3 linked regions of the Diceros bicornis minor genome follow. The protein of the gene in region 3 purifies or fractionates together with the protein of the main gene of each other region. This does not show direct contact. Links are inferred from orthologs where the notes say so. Each region holds a gene or a part of one and is shown on either strand. Other genes may lie near its edges. The genes, in order: MARK2, DTNA and UTRN.

Region 1 (7,432 bases), on a different chromosome or scaffold from region 3:
GAGTGGAAACAGGATGAGTAATTCATAGTTTGGAACAGGATGACAATGTATGCAGGCACTGCCCCGGACCAAGTTATCAAACAGCAGCTTACACTCCCAAATGGTTCACCGATTACCGCTAGCATGAAATCCATGGTGTGCACCGAGTTCCTACTACGCGCTCAGCAGTATGCTGGGCATGTAGGGAAGAGAGGAAATCAATGCACACATCACAAGAAAAAGACCATGGTGGGAATACATTTACATTTAGTAAACAGCACAAAGAAACCACACTGAGGCAGTCTGTTACTCCACTTTGCTGAACACAATGCCCCCCACGGGCTCGCTGAGAGAGTAGGCACTCCACTCCAAGCCACTCCCCAAATGCCTGAGGGTGCCAGTCAGTCACTTGGCCTCCTCCTACCAGCTCACAATCAACAGTCTGGGAAAGTTCTCTGGTCAGGCAGGGTTCACTTGCTAAAACAAAGGTTGTGATGGGAAAAGGAATGGCACAGGCAACGTCAAGAGGGCCTGGAGAAAGCGGTTCCCGGTAAGGAGAGAAACAGCTGGCAAGCGAGGGAAAGCCTGTGGGATACAGACCATGCTCCTGTTTCCAAAGACCTCAGGCCCCTGCAGAACCAGCTGCCAAACCCAGTGATGAAATGGAAATCACCCATCCCTCCCTCTCAGCCCGTTTCAACCCCACAAGCAATCAATCCGTCAGTAATGAAAGGGTCAACCACTGCAGAGAGAAACTCAGTCCAGAACCACTGCAGAGAGAAACTCAGTCCAGAACTCCTCTTGAGTGTCTGACTGCCCAGGGGACACAGAGCCGGGGGTAACAAAAGAAAAGAACGTAGCAAAAATGAAAAGAGGGAAGATTTTTCAGAAAAGGTTAACATGCAAGAGACTATAACGACGGTTCTATTGGGCTCCGAAGAACTAAGGGAACAAAAGGAAAGCAGCAAGGATGTAAGGAGGGAAAAGGATGCAAAAAGCACTGCAGCCCCAGGGGAGAAGAGCTCCTTTTTCGAGTCAAGTTTTTTTGGCCTAGTAAAGTTCTCCACCAAGAAGGGCGTGACAGGCAGGGGACTCTCCACAGAGCAGTCAGCAAGGGACACTGGAGATGGTGAAACAAAGGGGAGAGGTGGAAGTGGATGCCTCTCAGCTCAGAGGTGAGATGACAGAGAAAAGGCTAAGGCTTGGGTGACAAATGACGGCAGTGATTGCCAGGATGAGAGGGAGCGTGTAGCTCAAGAAACGAGCATGCAAAATGCCTGGGCCCAGGAGTTACAAAGACTAGCCAATGGGAAGGGGATGGAGAGGGGCATATGTGGGGAAATAAACACGGTGTGAAGAAGGCAGGAGACTAATACCGAGATGAAAGGCAATCCTGATTAAGAAACACAGTAAGGATTATGAAGTGAGGGTAAAGAAACCGGAAGACAACAAGCAAGGAGGAAGATACTATGAAAAGTGACGGATCCGGGAGTGAAGCGACAGGAAGGCATGGTTTGTGCTGTGATGTAAGAAAACAGAAAGGCAAGGGCGGTGATGCAGCGAGGCCCGGGAGAGGACTAAGCAACAGGTTGTGTTAACGGAGTGGGGCTGAAATAGTGTCTTTCCCTCGGTAGGAAGAGCCCGGGGAGAAGGCTGGTAAGGCACCCACAGGGAGAAACAGGAGGCCAAGAGACTTAAAAGCCAAACTCTGGGGGGAAGAGAACGCGAGGGATCCGAGGACTTTGAAGGGAGTGACGACTGGAACCCCAGAGACAACCTGTGGGAAAACTATGCGCATGACAGCTGTATGGGAAACACGGAAGCAACAAATGCCAGCGCGAGGCACCAGGGAGCTCCTGGAGAGAAGAAGGGAAAGTGATGAGCACAGAGTAGGCGAGCGATTGGGAAAGGTGATGAGGGTAGAGCTGGTGGGTTGCAAGCAGGAGGGAGAGCGCAATTTGGAGAGGGCAGAAGCAGGGTAAAAAAGAGGAGGAACTGGAAGGGGACAGGGTTCAGGGATCGAGAACACACTCCGGGGAAGGACCCTGAGGGTGATAACCAGGGACTGGGAGAACCGGTGCGGGCGGAGGGGGAGCAAGGCGAGAGAGATGGAGGAAGGGGTGGACGACGATCTGGGGCACACCGCGGAGTGCTCTTCGAGGAGTGGGAGGGTGGCTGCTTTAAGCGTGGGTGGAGAAAGACCAAAAAGGCCCCCGAGAGAAAAAGGGAAGAGAAGGGGAAGCTGGGGAGGTAACACGGAAGAGCGCAGGAGGGCGGTGAGGGCAGAAGGGGGGTCGGCAGGAAGACAAGTGTGCAGCTTGGAGTCTGGACGAGGTGGGTCCCAAGACCGGACTCGGAGGGGGATGTGCGGGGCCGAGAGCCAGATGACAGGGCAGCCGCGGCTTGCAGGGTGGCAGCAGGGCACGAGGAGAGCAGAGGAGGGAGGAGGCTCCGCAAGGTGCAGGGGCCCAGCCAGAGAATCCGGGGAGCCCTCGGGGCTCCTTACCTGCTCCGTGTCCCTCTCGTTCAGCGTGGGTAGGGGGGTCCGGGCGCTGGACATGGCGCCGGTATCTCAGGGGAGGGAACCGAGAAGCTTGGAGGAAGGGAGGGAAGGGAAGGCGCGGAGCCCGGCCGGGCGGGGCTTCTCACAGCAGGGGCACCCGCCGCATGGGCCCCGGCCGGGGGTGCGGGGAGGCCGGGCAGCCGCTCACGCCAGCCCGGGGATGCGCCGCTCGGGCTAGGCCGCGCCGGCTCCGAGCGGCTCCGGACCGCACCCCCCCGACCCCCGGCTGGGCTGTGCCGCCTTTCGGCCGGGCCGCGCCGCTCCGCCTACTCTCTGCCGCCGCAGCCGGCCGCCCGCCTCGCTCCTCCCCTGCCCTCAGCGGCACTGCTCCGCGCCCGGCACACAGGCAGCCGCCGCCGGACCTGCTGCTCCCAACATGGCCGCCACCACCGCCGGCCCTCGGCTCTTTCCGCCGGCAGCAGCCGGAAACATCCGAAGCGGCTAGGAACGGGAGGGGGGCGCGCCTCCTCCTCCCGGCCACGGACTACGGGTGAATTCCGGAAACACCCGAAGAAGGTAACCCCTGGGGACGCGCGCGCCTCCTTGATGCCGAAGACCGAGTTTCGGCTCTGTTTACGGAAATCCACGAAGCCACCCCGGGTACTCCAGCCACGCCCACAGGCCTTTCCCCGCCCGCTTCAAGCTGGCGCTCGGCAGTTTCCGGAAACACCCGAAGAGGCTCTGCGAGCCGTGAGCCGGCCACGCCCCCGTCCCGCTCCGCTGCCGACGGCTGTCGTCGGCCATTTCCGGCAACACCCGAGGCCTGGCGAGCCCCGGGTCATTCCCTCAGGAGGTATCCAGAATCTGACTCTTCGTTTCTTTCCGTCAGTTTTCGGATATTTTCAAATCTTGAAAGGGAGCGTGGATCACCTGTGCTTGTTATTATTTGACTAAATAGAAAATAAGGCTGTCAGCGGTCCTTGCGATTGGCATCCTTCGGTTTTAAAGCAACTTCCCTTCTCCGCGTCCGTTCGTCCGTCTGTTGGTCAGCTCATAAAATCCATCTCGTTTGTCACCCAACCTGTCTATCAACATATGTCACCCGTCAAATGCAGTGTTAGCCTATTGTCTGTCTACTATCATTCATCCCCTGCCATCGTCTGTCTTGGCTTCTATTTATCTACCCATACACCCACATCAAGTCCGCAGGGCACCTCAAGGACCTGGGCAGACACTTGGTCAGCGTCCTTGGCTCCCAGCTGCGGGAGGCTGCAGAAGTCTCCCCAGCCCTGCATCCCAAGCCCAGTTCTGTGGACTGAAAATGCTGTGTGACCTTGGAAAAATCACGTAACATCTCTGAGTGCAGGCTCCTTGACCTCCCTATACTGAGAGAATCCGTGCCTTTGTTCCAGGGATGACATTCTAAATAACATCTTTAAATTCCAGTGACCTTTTAATTTCAAAAAAAATCTTTTAATTGTTCAAAATAGCACAAAATGACATCACACTGTGGTAATGTTGAGTCACACCAGTTACCTTTTTAAATACCCCTGTAAGGTAAGGCAGGAGAGAAATTCTCATCTTAATTCACATTTCAGTTATCCCTTCTAAGACAAGAAAACTCGTGGAAAAAGAGAGAGAAACTAGTTGACGATGAGGATGCCTCAGGATGGCACAAAGAATGGGCACCTGGAGAAGTTCCTTTCCTTCCCTGGGCCTCAGTTTCCCCATCAATAAAGCGAGGTCGCTGGATTCATGAGCTCTCAGGTCCCTCTCATTTTTGCAGAGCTCCTGACTAACAGGAAGTCCATGTGGCAAACTGAGCCCACTCTTCACTCCCCCTAGACTGTCTCATTGGGAGAGGCTGATCTGATTCCTCTGGCTCCAAGGGGCTCCCACCCATCAGATCCAGACATGTTGGAATTTGCCCTTGTCCCCCGCCTCCCAGGGCTCAACAGCAGCTTCAGGTGGGCAGAAGCCAGAGTCCCCCCAGAAGACAGAGACCAGGCTCAAGCATCAAGTCCCCAAAAAGGTACAGGAGCAGAGAGGCCCCAGGGATTGCGAGAAAAAGTGCTGGCTGGACCTCGGATGCTTCACTTCCAACTCCCAGCTACAGTTTCTAGAGCAGAGCCCTCGGCCAAGTCACCCAGAGAAATAGGCAGCCGGACAGACGCAAGGAGATAATGATATGAAAGTACTTCCTGAGGCGACAGGTACCACCTACAGACCTAGTAAATATCCGGGACTCTAGGACAACTCCCCATGCCCTGCCCCAGCTCCATCCAGGCACCCAGCCGTTGATGAAGGAACACAGGAGGAGGTGAGGACAAATAAGAGGAAGAGGTGAGGACAGGGGACATTCCACTCCCCAACCCCAAATTCTTCTCTGAAAATCCATGAGAATGATCTGCCCTCTGGTGGCCAAAGGGAGACACACTGCTGAGTCCTGTGTCCGGTGTCACCTCCAAGGGTCTGGAAAGAAGGAAGAAGGGGAAGAGGTTGGAGGAGCAGAGGAAGGTGTGCTCGGGGGTCTGCCAGGGCCCAGGTTCTCGTCTCAGCAAACTCTACCTTCTCCATCCTTGTCCTCGCTCGTGTTCTCACCCCTGCCCTCTGACCTTTAGCCCCCACCCCCACCCCACCTGTCCCCTCGTCTTCCTCACAAGGCTGCCTAACTGGTCTCCCTGCCTGGACTTCCTCCGACGTACTCCACCAGACAGGCCAGAATAATCTTCCTAAAGTCCAGCTCTAATTACATCTCTGCCTGCTGGAAGGTTCTCACCAGCTTCCTTGAGGGACAGGCAGGGCTGGCTCCATGGGCCTAGGACCTGTGCAGTCACACAAAGCCCTACTCTTAGAAGGGCTTTGAGTTTGATGTAATGCTCTGCTGTCATCCTCTTGTAATTTTCATCAAGGGGGCCCTGCCTTTTCATTGTGCGCTGGGCCCCAGACATTTCGTAACCAGTCCTGGAGGTAAAAAAAGCCTTTAGCCTGCATTGGAAGCTTTGCACAATCTGGCCCCAACTTAGCTTGCTAATATCCTCTCCAACTCAGCACTGCTGGTTGACACCTCCCCCCAGCTGCAGCCCGGCCACCAGGCTCTCTCACCTCCATGCTTTTGTTCAGGCTGATCAATGGCCAGTCACCTACCTCAGCTTCCGGACGTACTTCAAGATTCAGTTCAGATGTCACCTTCTCCAATCCCGGAGCCTTCCTAGTTCTCCTTAAAGATTAATTATCACTGCACATTTACCCCCCTCCAATCTGCATATTCATTCATTCACAAATCTCTATTGAGGACCTACTATGTGCAAGGCACTCTTCTAGGTGTATCAGTGAACAAAACAAAGATCTCTGCCCTTGGGGAACTTACAACTGCGAGAAGACAGACAACAGACGTAATAGTATTAAGTGTCATGGAAATAAAATAGAGCCAGCTAAGGTGGGTCAGGGTTGCTGGGGTGAGGGGGTAGAGGTGAAAGACTAAGGTGGTTAGTGTAGGCCTCACTGAGAAGGTGACACTTGAGCAGACTTGAAGGAGGTGAGGGAGTGAGCTCTGTGGATATCTGGGAGGAGAGCATTCTAGGCAGAGGGGATGGCCTGTGCAAAGGCCCTGAGGCAGGAGCGGGCCTGGCTGTTTAAAGAACAAGAAGGCCAAGGAGACTGGAGCAGAGTGAGGGGCTGAGTAGTGGAGAGGGCAGAAAGGGGATGTGGAGCTAGGCCACAGCTTTGGCTTTCCCTTGGAGTGAGATGAGGAGCCGCTGCAGGGACATGATCTGATGGGCTGCTGAGTTGAGAACAGAGCGAAGGGGCAGGGCAGGAACAGAAGCCTGGAGACCAGGAAGGAGGCTTTTACATAATTCAAGTGAGAGATGACAGTGGCTTGGGGTGGGGCAGCAGCAGTGGAAGCAGTGAGAAGGAGAAGGATTTGGGATATATCTGGAAGGTAGAGCTGACAGGATTTCTCGATGGATTGGCTTAGGGGGTCTGGGAGAGAAGTTAAGGATAATTCCAAGCTTTCCAACCTGAACACTAAAGACAAAACAAACACAAGAGTAAAGGCAGCTACCACAGGCCCTAGACCAGGTGGACACCAGCCAATAGGAGCCGTGCTCCAGGGCGGCCGTGATGCCCCCTGGGATCCCGGAAGGCAGAGGTTACGGGATTCCCAGCTCTGGCAGGGGAGCAATCCCCCTACATGCATGAGCTGTGAGGAAAGAAGTAAGAAGAGGTAAGAGTGCTGGAGTGGAAGACATCCTTGTTCTCATCCCTCCAAAACACTGCAACTCATCTTCACCTTTCTCCCTCCGACCGGAGGAGCCAGAGAGGATGCGCATTCCAGGCAGGCCACTCTGGGAGGTGCAGGATTGCCTCAGAATTGCCCTCTGATCAAGAGTCAGAAGCCGGGGGTGAAGCAAGACCCACCCACGCCCTCTGACTCGCCAGAGACCCTCCCATCTCGCAGAGCTTTATTTTTCTTGATGTCTCTGAATTTCCATCACGCGCTTTATCGACATTGACATACACCGTGTTGAATTTAGGACATTTGGGAGACGTTAGAATGTGAAAAAAATGTGCATCTTACAATTGATGGAATAGAATATGTTTATTATCGGTGCCCCCTGCCCAGCCACCACCAGGACGTGAACACAAGGGCTGGAACTGCCAGTCTCATTCCTCTGTCTTGGTTTTGCTAACACGCATCGAGAGCTGTGTACTGTGTGGACGTCACCACATTTAATTCTCAAACAATGTGCAGGAGGCACTGTGATTTCCCCCAGGTTACTAATAAGGAAATCGAAGCGTAGAGAAGTTTGGTCCTTTGCCAGTAGCAGTGGGAACGGGAGCATCAGCCTCAGCCCGTGAGAGGCGGGTAGTGTAGGGCAGTGAGCAAGCACAGACCCTGCCACCAGGCTGCTCCTTAGTATCTATGTGATCTTAGGCAAGCCTCTT
Region 2 (7,401 bases), on a different chromosome or scaffold from region 3:
AACTAGAGGGATGGGACTTGAAAGGAAAAAGTCACGTCGTATCTACCAGGTGAGGTGAAAGCATCAAGGAAATGCTTTCTCTAAAATAAGTAACAGAAGCCAGAAAATGGAAACAGTTGAGACAGTTAAGAAAGGATATAGGTATGTATCATAGGATTTATGCTTTAATAACAATCAATAGTCACATAAATAGACTTGGAAAATTCAATTTCAATATCGAAAACACTTGTACCTGATGGCATGCAACTTTTCTGACCACAGCATTGCACTCTAGCATCCCAAAATAAAGATGTAGCCATAATTTGGGGTGTTGAAGACGTTAACCACTGAAGAGCAAGACAATTGTTTTCATATCCAAAGATCAGGTTTCTACATAGTTCAGTTGGATTCTAGTCTCTTTTCACCTATCATGTTGAATAAGTGTGGATTTGAAATAGTTATACTGAATTTAATTAAACCGAAAGACAAGAATTAAGGAAATCTATGCATGTCAAAATAATGTTGAAACTCATGTGAAGAAGCAATTAAATTTGCTTGAAAAAATAACAGATGAAGACTTAAGAGAGACATCTGTCCTATAAAATGAATATTATGAGAGCTCCATGATAAGCTCAAATGAAGAATAATTCTCTAAATATGTGCAGTTGTAGTTCACTCCACTGAGACCTTTCTTCACATGATGGTTCATTTAAAACAAATGGAGATTTTTAAACTATTTTGACTTAGGACTGATGAGAAAATTTGATTTTTAGTCTTCATTGCTACTTTGTATAAAGTGCATACAATTGGCTAAAACGCATGACATACACGAATACCCTCAAAATACAGCGTGCTTTTAATCAATGACAGTTAAAGAGAATTGCATAGTTCTTCTTTTAAAACTGCCTAACCTCTTGTCAGAGTGATTGGATTAAAGATGACACAACTTGCTCAAAAATTCTGCAAGATGGTGTTCTGAAGAAAATGATGGCCACACTTTGAGCAAAGAACAGACTAACACCTTAGGAGGTTTAGTGCAAACAAATATTTAGATTCAGCCATCTGCTTTATAATTATTAACTTTGCTGATAAATCTTAACTGCTGAAAACCTTAACTTTGCTGATAGATACACTGTTGTAATCTGTAACTGTTGTAGGAAACAGTTAATTGTGACAAAAAGAAACTACTCAAAGGATATGTGCCATAATTACACTATTAATTAGAAAAAGAGTTAATTGTCCCAAAGTGTTGGTTAAGAGTACACCAAAAGCCCAACTGGGCTCTAACGTTTAATAACCGTACAACTTTGGGTAAGTTATTTCACCTCTGTCTGGATTTCCTCATCTGTAAAAGGTGGTTAATATTATTACCTACCCCTTATGGTGGTGTAAGAATGAAGTGAACAGAGCTAAAGCACATAGAACTATGCCTGGAACGTGTGGAGAGCTGGGTTTTTTCCCTGCAGTTTCTACCTTTTCTACCTTCTAACATTTATTCTAAAAATAAATGTTTTTTTGTATAAGAAACCAATAACTGTATACTTCAACAATAAAGATCATTGTTATGAACCACAAACACACATTAAATATCAACTAATTCTAACAGATAACAGGAAAACTTAAACATCAACTCCAAACATCATTTTTTAGAGTAAGAATGAACCTAATGGTGGTAAGTTTCACTGCAAGTGTTTATCCAATATTTTTCCCCCAAGTTCTACACTTATCTTCTTAAAGTCAGACCCCAAGCCTGCCAAAGAGGAAAGTTTTACTACCAAGTCCCAGGCGTGGTACCATGGAGCCCCAGCACCGCCGTCCCCACCCCTTCTCTCTCCTTGGCTTTGGTGTTTTGACAGACACCTCTCCACCTCCCACTCCGGACACCAGAACGGACCTCCCGTTCGTCCTCTGTCCAGCGCAGAACTCCAAAGTGGGCAACAGGCTACAAAAGCTGCAGACACTCACCTCCGTACCCATCCGCCCCCCGCCGTCCCCAGTGCAAAGTGCCCACTCCCAGTCAGCCATGCGCCCGGGCACCGCAGTGCATTGCAACACGCGCAGACGCCGCTGGCTGGAAAGGAACCCATCGCGGATTTCCTGGTCAATACCCCCCAGACTGCTCTCCAACGTGCGAGTCATCCCCAGTGGATGTGCCCACGCCACCTCCCACCAGCTCAGCCCGAGAGGACGACCAAGAGGGCAGCAATGACAACAAAAACAACTCAACCCGAGACGCAAGGGAGCCGGCTGCCATCGCCAGTCCGGGAGCAGCGCAGCGGCGGCAGCCGGAGCTGCGGCGCGGCCCGGCCTCGGCCGGCGGCCGAGATTTACCTGCGCGGCCCCGCGCCCCCGGGCCGGCCATCCTGCAGCAGCCGCTACCGCCTCTCGGCTGGCCCGAGGCGCCGCCCGCCGCCCGGGGAGGCGCCGCGCCGCAGTCCTGGCTGCGGCGCCCGGCACATGCTTCGCGCTAGCCGCGGCCAGCGCCCGCGCACAGGTGGGAACCCCGCGAGTGGGCGTTGGGGCGATTCCCTTCCCCCGCCGGCGCTCGCCGCCCGCTTCCACTCTTGACTTTGCCGGGTGCGCGGCGCCTGCCCTTGCTCCAGCAGCCCAGCCGCCTGTGCCCGCGCCCCGGCGCCGTGGGCGGCTGCGGTCCCTGCGCATCGGGGCTGCGCGTCATGTGCATCTCCCGCCTCGCGGCTTGCTCCGCGGCACCGGGCGGCCGGGGGCAGCGCGCAGCAGCCCGGCCCGGCGCCCACTCCTTGCCCGGCACGCGGACCCCCTCCACCCCCGCGCCCTCCCCCACTCTGGAGCTGTCAAGGAAGAAAACGCCTTGCACACACCTTGGAATGGACGGGCGCCTCAGTCACCGACTCGCCAAACTCTTAGAAGGTGTCCATTGGTCTGTAGGGAGGTTTGGGCATGGAGTAGGAGCCGCTTTCTTATTATTTAATAATGTTGGAAGTGCCGGGTCCGCTGCCAGAGTTGTGGGTCATGTGGGCACAGCAGAGGCTGGCTGCTGCCAGTACCAGGGTTTCCTGAGGATCCTGAAACTATGATCTCATCCTCCTCATCCGCCTCCCCCGCCCCTCTCTCCGCGGGCGCGCACGCACAGCACACACACACATACACACACATGCACACACACGCACACACACTCACACTGCATGCACTATCCTCCTTCTTGGACCGAAATATTCCTCCAGGGAAATACAGTGTTCACACTCTTCATTGAAGAAAAAAAAATCCATCCGATAGAGATTTTTCTCTTTCAAAGCTTGATTTATGTGCTTTGTTTATTTTCTACAGTTTTCCCTCACACGTGCATGGGATCCGAACAGAGCCTCAGAATTAAAATTAAAAATAATCATCCTCTTATGTTGACCCAGATTTTGGTCAGAACCCAGGGACTCAAACAGTACGATTTCAATTTAAAACAGAGGCAATAATGTACCAGGCTTCAATATGGAGTAATAATAATATCTGAGATGTATGCAGTGGTTTCTTTTCCAAGGTGCAAACATTTCCTAAACATTACCTCATTTATTCGCAGAGCATCTTCCCAAAGGAGGTGGATGAGAAGGCAAATTGTCACTTCAGAGACACAGAAGTGTAGGTCAGATAACACGACTTATCCAAGTACACATAAGTCAATGTCTCACTATAAATATTAATTGCACAGCTACTCACAGGTTGCTTATTCACTATGATCAATGCCTGGAAACTCAGATTACTGAAAATAATGGAAATATTCTTGATTGTTTTTAAGTTATCTACTATCTAAGATTGCAAATTTATTTTTCTATATGTATATGTTTTCACATAATTTTCTCTTGTGTATTTGTATATATCTCCAGTTTCATGGTTTCGTATAATTTTCTTTCCTTCCTTTGTTGGGGGTATGTGTATGTGTTATATGTCTGTGTATCTGCATGTACATTTTTATTCCTTTGCATTGTTATAACTCCTTAGATAGTAATATCAAGCAATTACAGTCAGTGTTTTTGGGGTAGTCACCAATTTCATAATGATTTGTATATTTCACTCAAACCCCTTTTAAGTGCCTGATGTATATAAAGAGCTGTGCTATGTTTTGAAGGATATAGAGAAGTTTAATACATGGAACCTGTCTTCCATTAGTTTATGTCTAGCTGTTGAGATAAGATATATATACTAAATGATCTACAGGTGAAATGCTTTGTTCTTTTTGGTGTTATGAATTATCACAAAGTACAAGATACACTCCTTTTCTTTTTGCCTACTTAATTTCTGTTCCACATTAAAATTAGTTCATTTGTCTGTGTGCCCCATATTTCAACTTGTCTTTGACCTCCATGGTATCTCAATGGCCAAGGTAATATGTTAACTTTGCCATTCATCTATACACGCACCACAATTACATAAACACTAAGTGGGGGATTTGTTTTTATATTGTAAAAGTTCTCACGAAGAGCAGTTGGCTTTGTTCAGGCATATATAAGAAAATTCAGCAGCTAACCAGTATTCTAATAATCCAGAGAAAAGAGAAATGGTGTGAGAGAGAATAGATCAAGGAGAAGGTAGAAGAGTAAGCAGTGAAAAGAAGAGAGGAAGGGAAGAATAAAAGGGAATCAAGAAATTACAAGAAGAGGGAGAGAAGAAGAGAAAAAAACAAAAGGAGAAGAAAAAGAGGATCAACTTCCAAGTGAAAGCTAAAATTTTCTAAATTTTGCTGCATGGAAAGCAAATTTAGAAAATCATAGACTTTCTTGTTGTTATCAAACAATATTTTTTGACAAGCTTACAAGAATTTAACGGCAAAGACACCAGGCATTGATCCTGTAGTGGCTACCCTGAATGATCTCAATTTTAAAAATTGAGTGGATTTGTGTGGGTTTTTTTTTTTTTGGTGAGGAAGATTGGCCCTGAGCTAACCTCTGTGCCAATCTTCCTCTGCTTTGTATGTGGGACGCCACCACAGCATGGCTTGACGAGCAGTGTGTAGGTCCACGCCCAGAATCCAAACCCACGAACCCCCGGCCACCGAAGCAGAGTGCATGAACTTAACCACTATGCCATGAGGCTGGCCCCTGAGTGGATTTTTTTTTAATGGATTTTTGTTAAAAAGTGGATTCAAGTATAGGATCCACTAGAAGAAATAAATAGACTGACCTATCAATATAATGTAATAATAAAAATGACAATGGGATCAAATAGTCATTATATACAAATATATAAGTCATTATATACAAATTTTTAAGAAGAAATTAACATTGAAATTCAGGGAGATAAATGAAAAATCAAAGTCACAGGTCTATTAAAGTGGGCAATAAAAAGTTATCCTTGCAATATTTAAAGCAAAATAATAGTAATAATAATATGTTACATTTTGAAAGTACTTCAGATTTTCAAAGTGCTTTTCATACAGTCTCTATTGAGCCTAATAATAATTAGAGGTTGGCACCTTTGTTGGCTTCATATGAAAAGAATACAATAATTCTCCCTAGATTTCTACACATTGAATGGAGAAGTGCTGAAAATTTTCACTCACTGTTTTGGAAATACCGTTTATATTTTCTGGTCAGTCAACCTTAAAGATTTTGCTCCGTATGCTTTTCTCCAGTCCCCATAAACAATACAACTAGATGGATTCCTGGGCATAGATCACAACAGTGATTTTTAATCCAGAATTTTACACAGGCTATTGGAGTTAAGCTAGAAGCTTTAGCATGTAGCGGACACTAATGGCTTTGCAGTATCTCTGGGAGATTTCTGCTCAAGGGGTAGAGGCCCACACTGAACAGCAATATATCAAGAGCCCTTTCTTTTTGATCTGCATACTCAGGACAGATTTTTGTTTGTTTCAATTTTTATTTATTTATTTAATTGAAGTATAGTTGACATATAATATTATATTAGTTTCAGGTATACAATGGTGATTCGACATTTATATATATTACAAAATGATCACCACGATAAGTCTAGTAACCATCTGTTACCATACAAAATTATTAGAGATATATTTAGGTTTGATGATTCTAACGTTTCAGAAATGCATTACAACTTCAGTGGCTCAACAATCACTAGCAGTTTGTGTCAGAAAATCTTCATTTAGGGAAAAATATGTTTAATATGGCTATGCACATATATTTGTGGTTCATACTAATTTAGGCTATTTTTACCATGGAAAATAAATTACTGATATTTATCTTGCTCTTATAATTTCTTGATTTTTAAAATAGGTTATAGTTGAAATGCAAATGGCCATAGGTAAAATCAGAATGTTCACTATGTTATAGTGAAACTATATGTGTGTGTATGTGTTTTACAAACATAGTAATATAGAGAGTGTATATGTGTTATAGGTCAAATCAGAATGATTACTATTATCTATTAGTCGGTAATAGTTTTGTTGCATGAGGAAGTAGTAATTTTGGAGTATTTCAAAGACTTGCATGACAAGAGTATAAGAAGTAGATTCAAAAGAGTTGAACAAGTAAACACATTATTGTTTTATTAATTAGAAACTCTTATACCCACTGGATGTAGACTGATGTTTCAAGGAAGGATGATATTTGCGCTTGAAGAACACAAAATATACATAAATTCTTCTCCCCCAAGAAACTAATTAGCTTTCAAGAATGAAAAGTACATTAGACCTCCAACACAGGTCAAGAAGATGGATCAACTGAGCTGTGACTTGGGGAATTAATAGTTAGATTTTTTTGGTGTGAGAGCTACCAGATTTTGAGGTCAATGTGGACCCCGGGTAGAATTATCAAGTAGGCGAGTTTTGTTCCTGTCCATTTTTTGTTAATGTTCCCCTCTTCCCATAGAAGCCCTACCTTCTCTCTGGCTCCCAAAGGCAGTCAGAACCCTTTGCTGTTTTCCAACTTTTCACCACATTCCCATTTTGGAACTCATCAGCCTCAGACAGAACATCACTTCTGACCTCCCCTGAAATGTGTACATTGTATCCTAAGCATTCATGAAACTTGAGGGGAGAAGTTGTGCTTGTATTAATAAACACCAAGAGTGTTCATTCGGTATCTTTGCATCACTTCAAGATGCCTATTTATGTAGTTAAAGTTAGTATCCATTTGCCTGAGAAATTCTGCTTTGAGGCATGGTCCTGTCAGCTCTTAGGGAGTAATTGCAAGTCAAGGAGGGCAGAGGTATTCTTCCTTTCATCCCTCCTAGGCTCCCTGCCGTCTCAGCTAGGCTGAAGCCTCCGGTACACAAGGCAGTGCCTCATAACTCAGCTGCTTCTGGCAGTACCTATTATGGTGCTCAGCCACAGTGTCTTGGTTGATTTTCCCATCTGAGTAACATCCTCAGGAGAAATGCTGTTTGCATTCTCCCTGTTCACCTCGGACTGCAGGAGAGAACATAACCTAAGAATGGTATTAAGTGGTCAAGTGTATTTTGTTTCCTAGTGTTTGAATG
Region 3 (7,082 bases):
TCTCCTAAATGCTTCCATGTGGGGCTTCATTCACCGTCAACACCAAGGGTAAAATGGAAGGAGTGTCTTGCTTTTGTTACATTATTTCCTCACGTTTCTATTGTTCAAAGAGAAAATGCATTTATATACTCTTACACAAAGTTTAGTAGAGAAAGTTTGCTTTTTTATTAGGACGCAGTTCCCTGTATATGAACAATATCTACGTAGAATCATGTCTGTCTATATTATATATACACACATGTCTTTAACTTTTTACATACACTACTCAGATCATAATATTTTCTCCAATGTCAAGTGCTTTATCCCCATGAGAGCAGTTCAGTTTTCTTAAATTTTCACTGTTCTGTGGTGACTGTTGGGCAATTCAAACTTTGGGTTGATGGTAGACCCAGGGCCACATTCTTATCATTTTCTCCAAATGTTCTACATCCATCTTTGGCGTGGGCAGACAAAACCCCACGGAGCACTGTTGTTATAGGCCCATGTCCCTGCTATGTGGGCTGCAGGTGGCATGTTGGTGGCAGGTGTACTAACAGCTACCACCTCCTAGTGACCTGTTCACTTTCCCCCCAACTCAGTCCTCAGGCTGTCAAGGAAGACCCCACTATCTGTTCTATGGAAACGTAGCTCTCTGTGGTCAAAATTTCCCACTTGAAGCGGTTCCCCCACTTACAAAGGACCAGCTTGGGATGTCTTGGTCATCCCACCAACACGAAGTTCTCTGGCCTCTTTCACAGGTCACAGGGAACGCACCATAAGCCACTTGAGCTGGGATGTGGGTGGAGTCACTCCCGCACAGATGGTGGCTGTCATCACTTATGCCCCTTTCCTTATGGCCTTCGGGGAAGCTTAACTAAACTTCCCCTCAGAGCTTAAAAATGCAGCAATCTCAGGTCCCCAAATATCTGTGTTTTTCAAAAAATTTGAATTAAATAAATTAATATTTGTATAGTACCTTGCAATTTACAAAGTGCTTTTTCATTTACATAATTTTAAGTAAGGAAATCCTCAAACACTCCAATATGGTTTTATTTTAAAGGAGGAAATCTGAGTTTCCAGCAACTCAACCGGGAGACAGTGCATGATGGGCAGGTTTAAGGGTCTGTAGGATTATCAGTTAAAAGAAACCTCAGTCTCCCTGGATACAGCCAGACTCAGGTAGCACTTGATCTGTCTTTTTCTTGGGCACTTATCTTGCATATATCCCTACTTGTTTACGTGCTATATCTCACTTACCAGATTTGAAGTTCAAGGCAAGATCTCTATCGAATTTATCTTTGCATTATTCACAGTATTCAGGGGGCCTCAAGGCCCCAAACTGGCATTTGTTAGATGAATGAACGAATAAAAGTGAATGAATGAATTATATCCATTTCAAGTTAATCCTCTGGATTTTATTTGGGTTTTATGAAGAAAATCCCCCCAAGGAAGGAAGCTAAGCTAGCGACTTTATAAGGAACACTATCTTTCAGGACCTCCTACCCCTCACAGCATTTAGGGACTGGGGAACCTTCCACTTTATAACTCATAAAAGGCTAGTAAATTCTTTCTGAAAAATTCGTTTAAGTCCCCTAGCGGCTTATCTTTACTAACTCGTAAACTGTTAACTTTCAAATATTAAACCAGCAACATGCCAAAGCTAGCTTATCAATCACCCTTTCCTCTTTGTTTATGTGAACTAGGAACTTAGGTTGCTGTTTTTTCTTCCTCCTCCCAAGCGTGATGATCATAGAAAAGAATCACAGGAACACATGGGGAGTGAAATATGTACATAAGAAAAATACACAGCACAAACTCTTCTCTTCCCAAATATTTTTGATCACCGCCTCAGCCTTGAGACAGGCTCTAGAATAGATGTATGTGCGTGTGTGTGTGTGTATTGGAAAAACAGAAAAAAAAAGGTCTGTGTAAACACTATTTGTAGGTATGAACGAATATGAAACGAAATTTCAAGATTTTTTGAATATTAAAAACGACACTAAGGGGCCGGCCCGGTGGCGCAAGCGGTTAAGTGCGCGCGCTCCGCTGCGGCGGCCCGGGGTTCGCTGGTTCGGATCCCGGGCGCGCACCGACGCACTGCTTGGTAAGCCATGCTGTGGCGGCGTCCCATATAAAGTGGAGGAGGATGGGCACAGATGTTAGCCCAGGGCCGTCTTCCTCAGCAAAAAAGGAGGAGGATTGGCGGATGTTAGCTCAGGGCTGATCTCCTCACAAAAAAAAAAAAAAAAAAAAAAAAAAAAAAAAAAAAAAACGACACTAAGAAAACTATATAAAATAAATACACCCCTGGAACTAGGACCAAAAAGTCAGTAAACTGAGATGGAGTGAGTGGAGGGGCTAATGGAGATTTACATCTAAAGGACAAAACAATCCCTCGAACTACCCGGTTTGCCTGGAGTGGGGGCGTGACTCACATTTTGGGATAATCTGAATAAAGGGGACTGTGTCTGCGCCGGCATCCATTCTCGCTCCCGGCTCCCGGCACGCACAGTTCGCTCCGGCAGCCGGCGGGCGCGCAGCCCCAGGCCACCGAGCGCCAGGCCCGCTGCTGCGGGCGGGGAGGGCGCGCAGGGCGGGCGCTGATTGACGGGGCGCGCGGTCAGGTGACCCGGGGCGCCACGTTCTCGGAGCCCAGCCGGCGGTGGCCGCCTGGGCCGGGCCGGGGCCGAACCGGGAGCCGGGAGAGGCTGATCGTGCAGGACAAAGTTGCTGGGCCGGCGGCGGCGGGGCGGGAGAGCCGCGAGGGAGCGGGAGCGCTGGAGCCCGGCCCGGCTCGGCCTCCTCCTCCTCGGGGAGGGGACCCCGGGGTGCGGGGACGCGCGCCCGGTGCCAAGGGGGCGGCAGCGCGCGACCGATCGGTCCTGCGCCCCACCCTCCCTGCTCGGCCTCCTGCGCTGCGCTCCAACAAAGGGGCAGGCCGGCGGCGGGGAGAAGGAGGAGGAGGAGGAGAGGGAGGAGGAGGAGGAGGAGCCGGAGGCGCGAGCCGCTCGCGCACAAAGTTGTGGAGTCGCCTTTCCTCGGAGGAGGGGAGCGGGCAGCCGCCGCCTGCCGCGGGCTTTCTCCCGCCGAGGGGCGAGGAGGAGCCTCCGGCTCCCGAAGCCGATTGGGGAATCACGGGGAGCGGCGCCCCCCTTCTTTTGGGTCATTTCTGCGGACGGAAAACTCTCGTGTTTGGCAAACTTGGTGCCTACGCGCCGGTTCCAGGTTTGCACTTGGACTGTTTTGTTTTTGGCGGAACTACCAGGCAGGAAGATTGCACAAGTCAGGGGCGTTTTCGATCGGGTGTCAAATTTTTTTTTTTCTTTCGGACCTCGTCTGGTTCTCCACATATCATTTTTGAAAAACGGTGCATCGTATCACCCACGCGCGCACACTCTCCGCGATTACTACGACCCAACTCAGCAGAGGAGCCCCCGGCCCGCTCGGGACGCGGGGGCGGCCGCTGGTCAGGCGAGCAGGTAAGCCCGTGCATTATTGAAGCCTCGGGCTGGGGACTGTGACCGCGGCCCCGAGGAAACGGGGTGTGGGCTGCGGGGAGAATGGACTTTTCTGCGGCTTCTGCGCCCAGGATCCGCATGCCGAGCTCCTTCTCAGGGCTGAGGCTAAGATGTAACCAACTTTTGCGTGCACTTTCCTCGGAACCTCAGTTCAGCTCCCCTCGGCGGGAGAGAGAATGCTAGAAACGTGGAGAAAGCTCGCGCGTGGAGATCCTCGGAATCCATATAGTAGCAAACGACTCAAACTCGTCCAGCTGCTTCTGTGCTGCTGCCTGGCTCCCCCAATCCTCTTCCCCTCCCGGGTGAGGGGGTCGCGCTTCCGTGCCTCGCGCGGTGAGAAGCGCTGGGCCAGTGATCTCGAGAGGGGACGTGGCCTCCTAGCAGTGCCTGTCACACACACCCCAGCCCGGGGAAGGCGGGGCCCGGAGGTGTCCGCGCGGAGAGGGTGGGGAGAGGCTGGCAGTGTGGGCGGCGGGCAGGGAGCGATTCCCAGCCGTCCGCCTGGCAGGAAATGTGCCTGACCTTCAGGCCGTTGCTGCTCCCGAAGGTGGGGCTCCGGAGAGGGGACGAGGGCTGCCCAATCCGTGCGTTCTTTCGCGCAGTCGCCTCTTCTGGTTTTCCGAACTCTTGGCATCTCTTGCTGCAACTGATAAGGTAATTTATGCCCCAGTTTGGCCCCGGGTCGGAAGCTCTGGTTGCCCAAGGCCACTTAAAAAACCAACACAGCACTCATTTTAGGCTGTGCAACTTTTCGAAGGCACGCTGTTCAAAGAGAATTTTTTTCCCAAGCCCCAGATTACGAAAGGGACTCGTTCCAGGCTTGTTCCAAGAGGAGAAAACGTACCCGACCTCCAAGAGCTAAGGGGGGGGGGGGTGCCGCACTTTGTTTTACACTGCACTGGAGAGCCCCAGGTCTACCCTGGGTCTAACGGCCCTGATCTCTGTGATGTCCCGGGAGAGCCTCCTCTTTCCCAGCCTCCAGGTCACCTGGGTCACCAAGGTCTCCCGGGTCAGTTCCCCATACGGCGTATGAGAGGGTCAGTGCACCAGTGGCCGTGGCCGGAGCGCACCGAGTTCGGGGGAGCCCCGATTCCCCGGGTCGGGGCCGGAGCTCGCGGCCGCATCCATCCCTTTGTCACTCGCACGGGCCTCGGGGAGTCGGGTGGGCCCCTCCCGGCTGGGGGCCGGTGGGCGCGGGGGACGCAGCCTGCCGATAGCGCTGCGGGGCTGGCGAGAGCTGGAGGAATGCGAAGCTCGCGGCTGTCTCAGCTTCCAGAGTACCAGGCGGCGAGGGCCAAGGTTTACGCGGAGTCAGTCCCCGCCCCCTTTACCCGCGTTTATGGGACCGATGAGACAGCTCTTTAACTCTCCTTTGGGTGTTTACTGACAATTTATTGCCCCTGTAAACAGTATTAATCACTGTACTATTAACCTTCCCTTGGAGCGCTTCCTCGAGTGAATGGCAGTTCTTGGCAAGGGGCGGTTTCTTTTACTATGTCTCAAGCAGAGCGGCCAAGTCGCCCGCTTGGACTTCTTTTCCACTATGTCTAGCATTCCGAGGTTTTGCTTCCAAGTGTAAATGAATGAATAGTTTTTGCCCGAGGACCGACACCGCATTTCCATCATAACTGCACATTATTGAGCAGACTTGTATTCTTGCGTTGTGTAATTCCAAATGGTTTTAAAATTAAAACAGTTTTGCCTTTAAGGCCTTCTCCCATCCTTTCACGCCAGGTTTATTGCTGCACACGCATGGTTTCTGGTCCGTGTGACAGCCAGAAATGTTCTAAAGAAGGAGTTAGTGAATAGAAAGTTGAGTGTATTGGTTTTGGTGAGAAAGAGCTGGCTAAACTTTGCAGAACATCATTATGGTGAAACAGAAAGCTAGAGCAGTGGGAACAATAAATTACAGTTGCATAGGGCTTAAAGCTCGTGAAGCAATATCCCTGTGATTTGTTCTCAGTTTCTCCCCTGGCTTTGTGTGGAAGATGACCTTCCCTCCATCTCATAGATGTGGAAGTGGAGGGTCACACAGTGTTGGTGATCAAACTTTGATTCTGTTTTCTGAGGACCAATTATAGATCTCTACAGCATTTAGCGATTTAGAAGAAGGCATCTTTTGCCATAGGTTACTCAGCCTGGAACCCCCTGGCCATTTGCGGCAACATAGTGGCCCTCACTGTTTAAGGGATCTTCTGTGATTCTCCCTCCTTCCTATTCTTTCCTTGTCCTCTGATCCTCCTTTATGCTGTAGCTTTGTAGCATATAAGGGATTTTGATTATCAAGAAGAGAAGATTTGTAGGGGCTGGCCCAGTGGCGTAGTGGTTAAGTTTGCCCACTCCGCTTTGGTGCCCCCGGGGTCGCAGGTTCGTATCCCGGGTGCAGACCTATGTGCTGCTCATCAAGCCATGCTGTGGCAGGTGTCCCACATATAAAGTAGAGGAAGATGGGCATGGATGTTAGCTCAGGGCTAATCTTCCTCAGCAAAAAGAGGAAGATTGGCAATGGATGTTAGCTGAGGGCTGATTTTCCTCACCAAAAGAAAAAAAAAAGATGAGAAAATTTGAGAAATTATGTTAAAGAGAGTGGCAAAATAACATAATGAAGAAATATTAATGCACAAATGGAATAAGATCCTGTGTAAATGGTTTGCTTTTCTCTTTTATGCAGTGGGAAAGGTCTATGGGAAGTATTGAGATGAAGACCCTTGGCTAAAACCAATTCTGAAGGAGAGCATTAGAAATCTCTCTCAAAGGGAATAGTTAGTTGCTTTCCAGGAAAGAGAATTTTTGTTGAGCAAACCTGATTTTCCATAATAAAATTTTATATGCATTCTTCTGAACAAAGTTTTTGGTTCTTGAATATAATAAAATAATTTAAGAATTCAGCAAATCCTTTACAGTCACGTACCCCTAAAAAGGAACTTAATCACATAATAATCCATAGAGTATTAATCCATAAAGTATTAACAGTAGTAGACCAATGTAAAAAATGAAAAAAGTTTTTTACATGCTCATAAAATCCACCAGACTCATGATCCAATCCACATATTCCTTCCTACTGGAGAGGAAATTGTTATAAAGCTTTAGCAATCTATCATAGTTTTCATCTGCCTCAAACTCTTTAACACTTCAAACTTTTTTCCAAGGTAAGTTTTTCCAAGGAAAAAAAAATTATTATGTATAGCCTATATTTATATTATAATAAATTAATATTATATGGTATTTCCTTGATGTTATATATCATAAAACATTATAATATATAAAATACTAAATATTACACAAATATGTAAAATGAAATATAAAATAATAATACTGTATGGGTTGTCCTTGAATCAAAGAATTGAGTTGTTCAATCCTAGCTGGCAGTAAACTCTGGTTCTGACATCTTTTGTTATATGTGAATTAATGTCCATTATTTGCAGATTAATATTTGGATGTATTGGCTGTTATACTCCCAATTAAATGATAAATTTATTTAATTGGCATTTGGGGTGCTCTTAAGGGGCTGCTGGGTTAGAGTCAAGTTGCCAAACTTAAACTTGAATTCTGATTCTGTCTGGGTTGGGGGGACAGCATGTTTCA

Evidence for each region.
Region 1: the proteins of UTRN (region 3) and MARK2 purify together in Homo sapiens (affinity purification with mass spectrometry; 4 studies listed by BioGRID and IntAct, with this or other methods). This does not show direct contact. The link is inferred for Diceros bicornis minor from reciprocal best matches to the Homo sapiens genes UTRN and MARK2.
Region 2: the proteins of UTRN (region 3) and DTNA purify together in Homo sapiens (affinity purification with mass spectrometry; 3 studies listed by BioGRID and IntAct, with this or other methods). This does not show direct contact. The link is inferred for Diceros bicornis minor from reciprocal best matches to the Homo sapiens genes UTRN and DTNA.

Annotation. Positions count from the first base shown.
Region 1 is NC_080770.1:9,073,986-9,081,417, forward strand, and holds the start of MARK2 (serine/threonine-protein kinase MARK2), read right to left. Parts: upstream 3,047-7,432; 5' UTR 2,540-3,046; coding exon 2,486-2,539; intron 1-2,485. UniProt on the Homo sapiens protein: Serine/threonine-protein kinase. Involved in cell polarity and microtubule dynamics regulation. Phosphorylates CRTC2/TORC2, DCX, HDAC7, KIF13B, MAP2, MAP4 and RAB11FIP2. Phosphorylates the microtubule-associated protein MAPT/TAU.
Region 2 is NC_080755.1:28,770,909-28,778,309, reverse strand, and holds the start of DTNA (dystrobrevin alpha), read right to left. Parts: upstream 3,020-7,401; 5' UTR 2,820-3,019; intron 1-2,819. UniProt on the Homo sapiens protein: May be involved in the formation and stability of synapses as well as being involved in the clustering of nicotinic acetylcholine receptors.
Region 3 is NC_080778.1:23,466,289-23,473,370, forward strand, and holds the start of UTRN (utrophin), read left to right. Parts: upstream 1-3,994; 5' UTR 3,995-4,151; intron 4,152-7,082.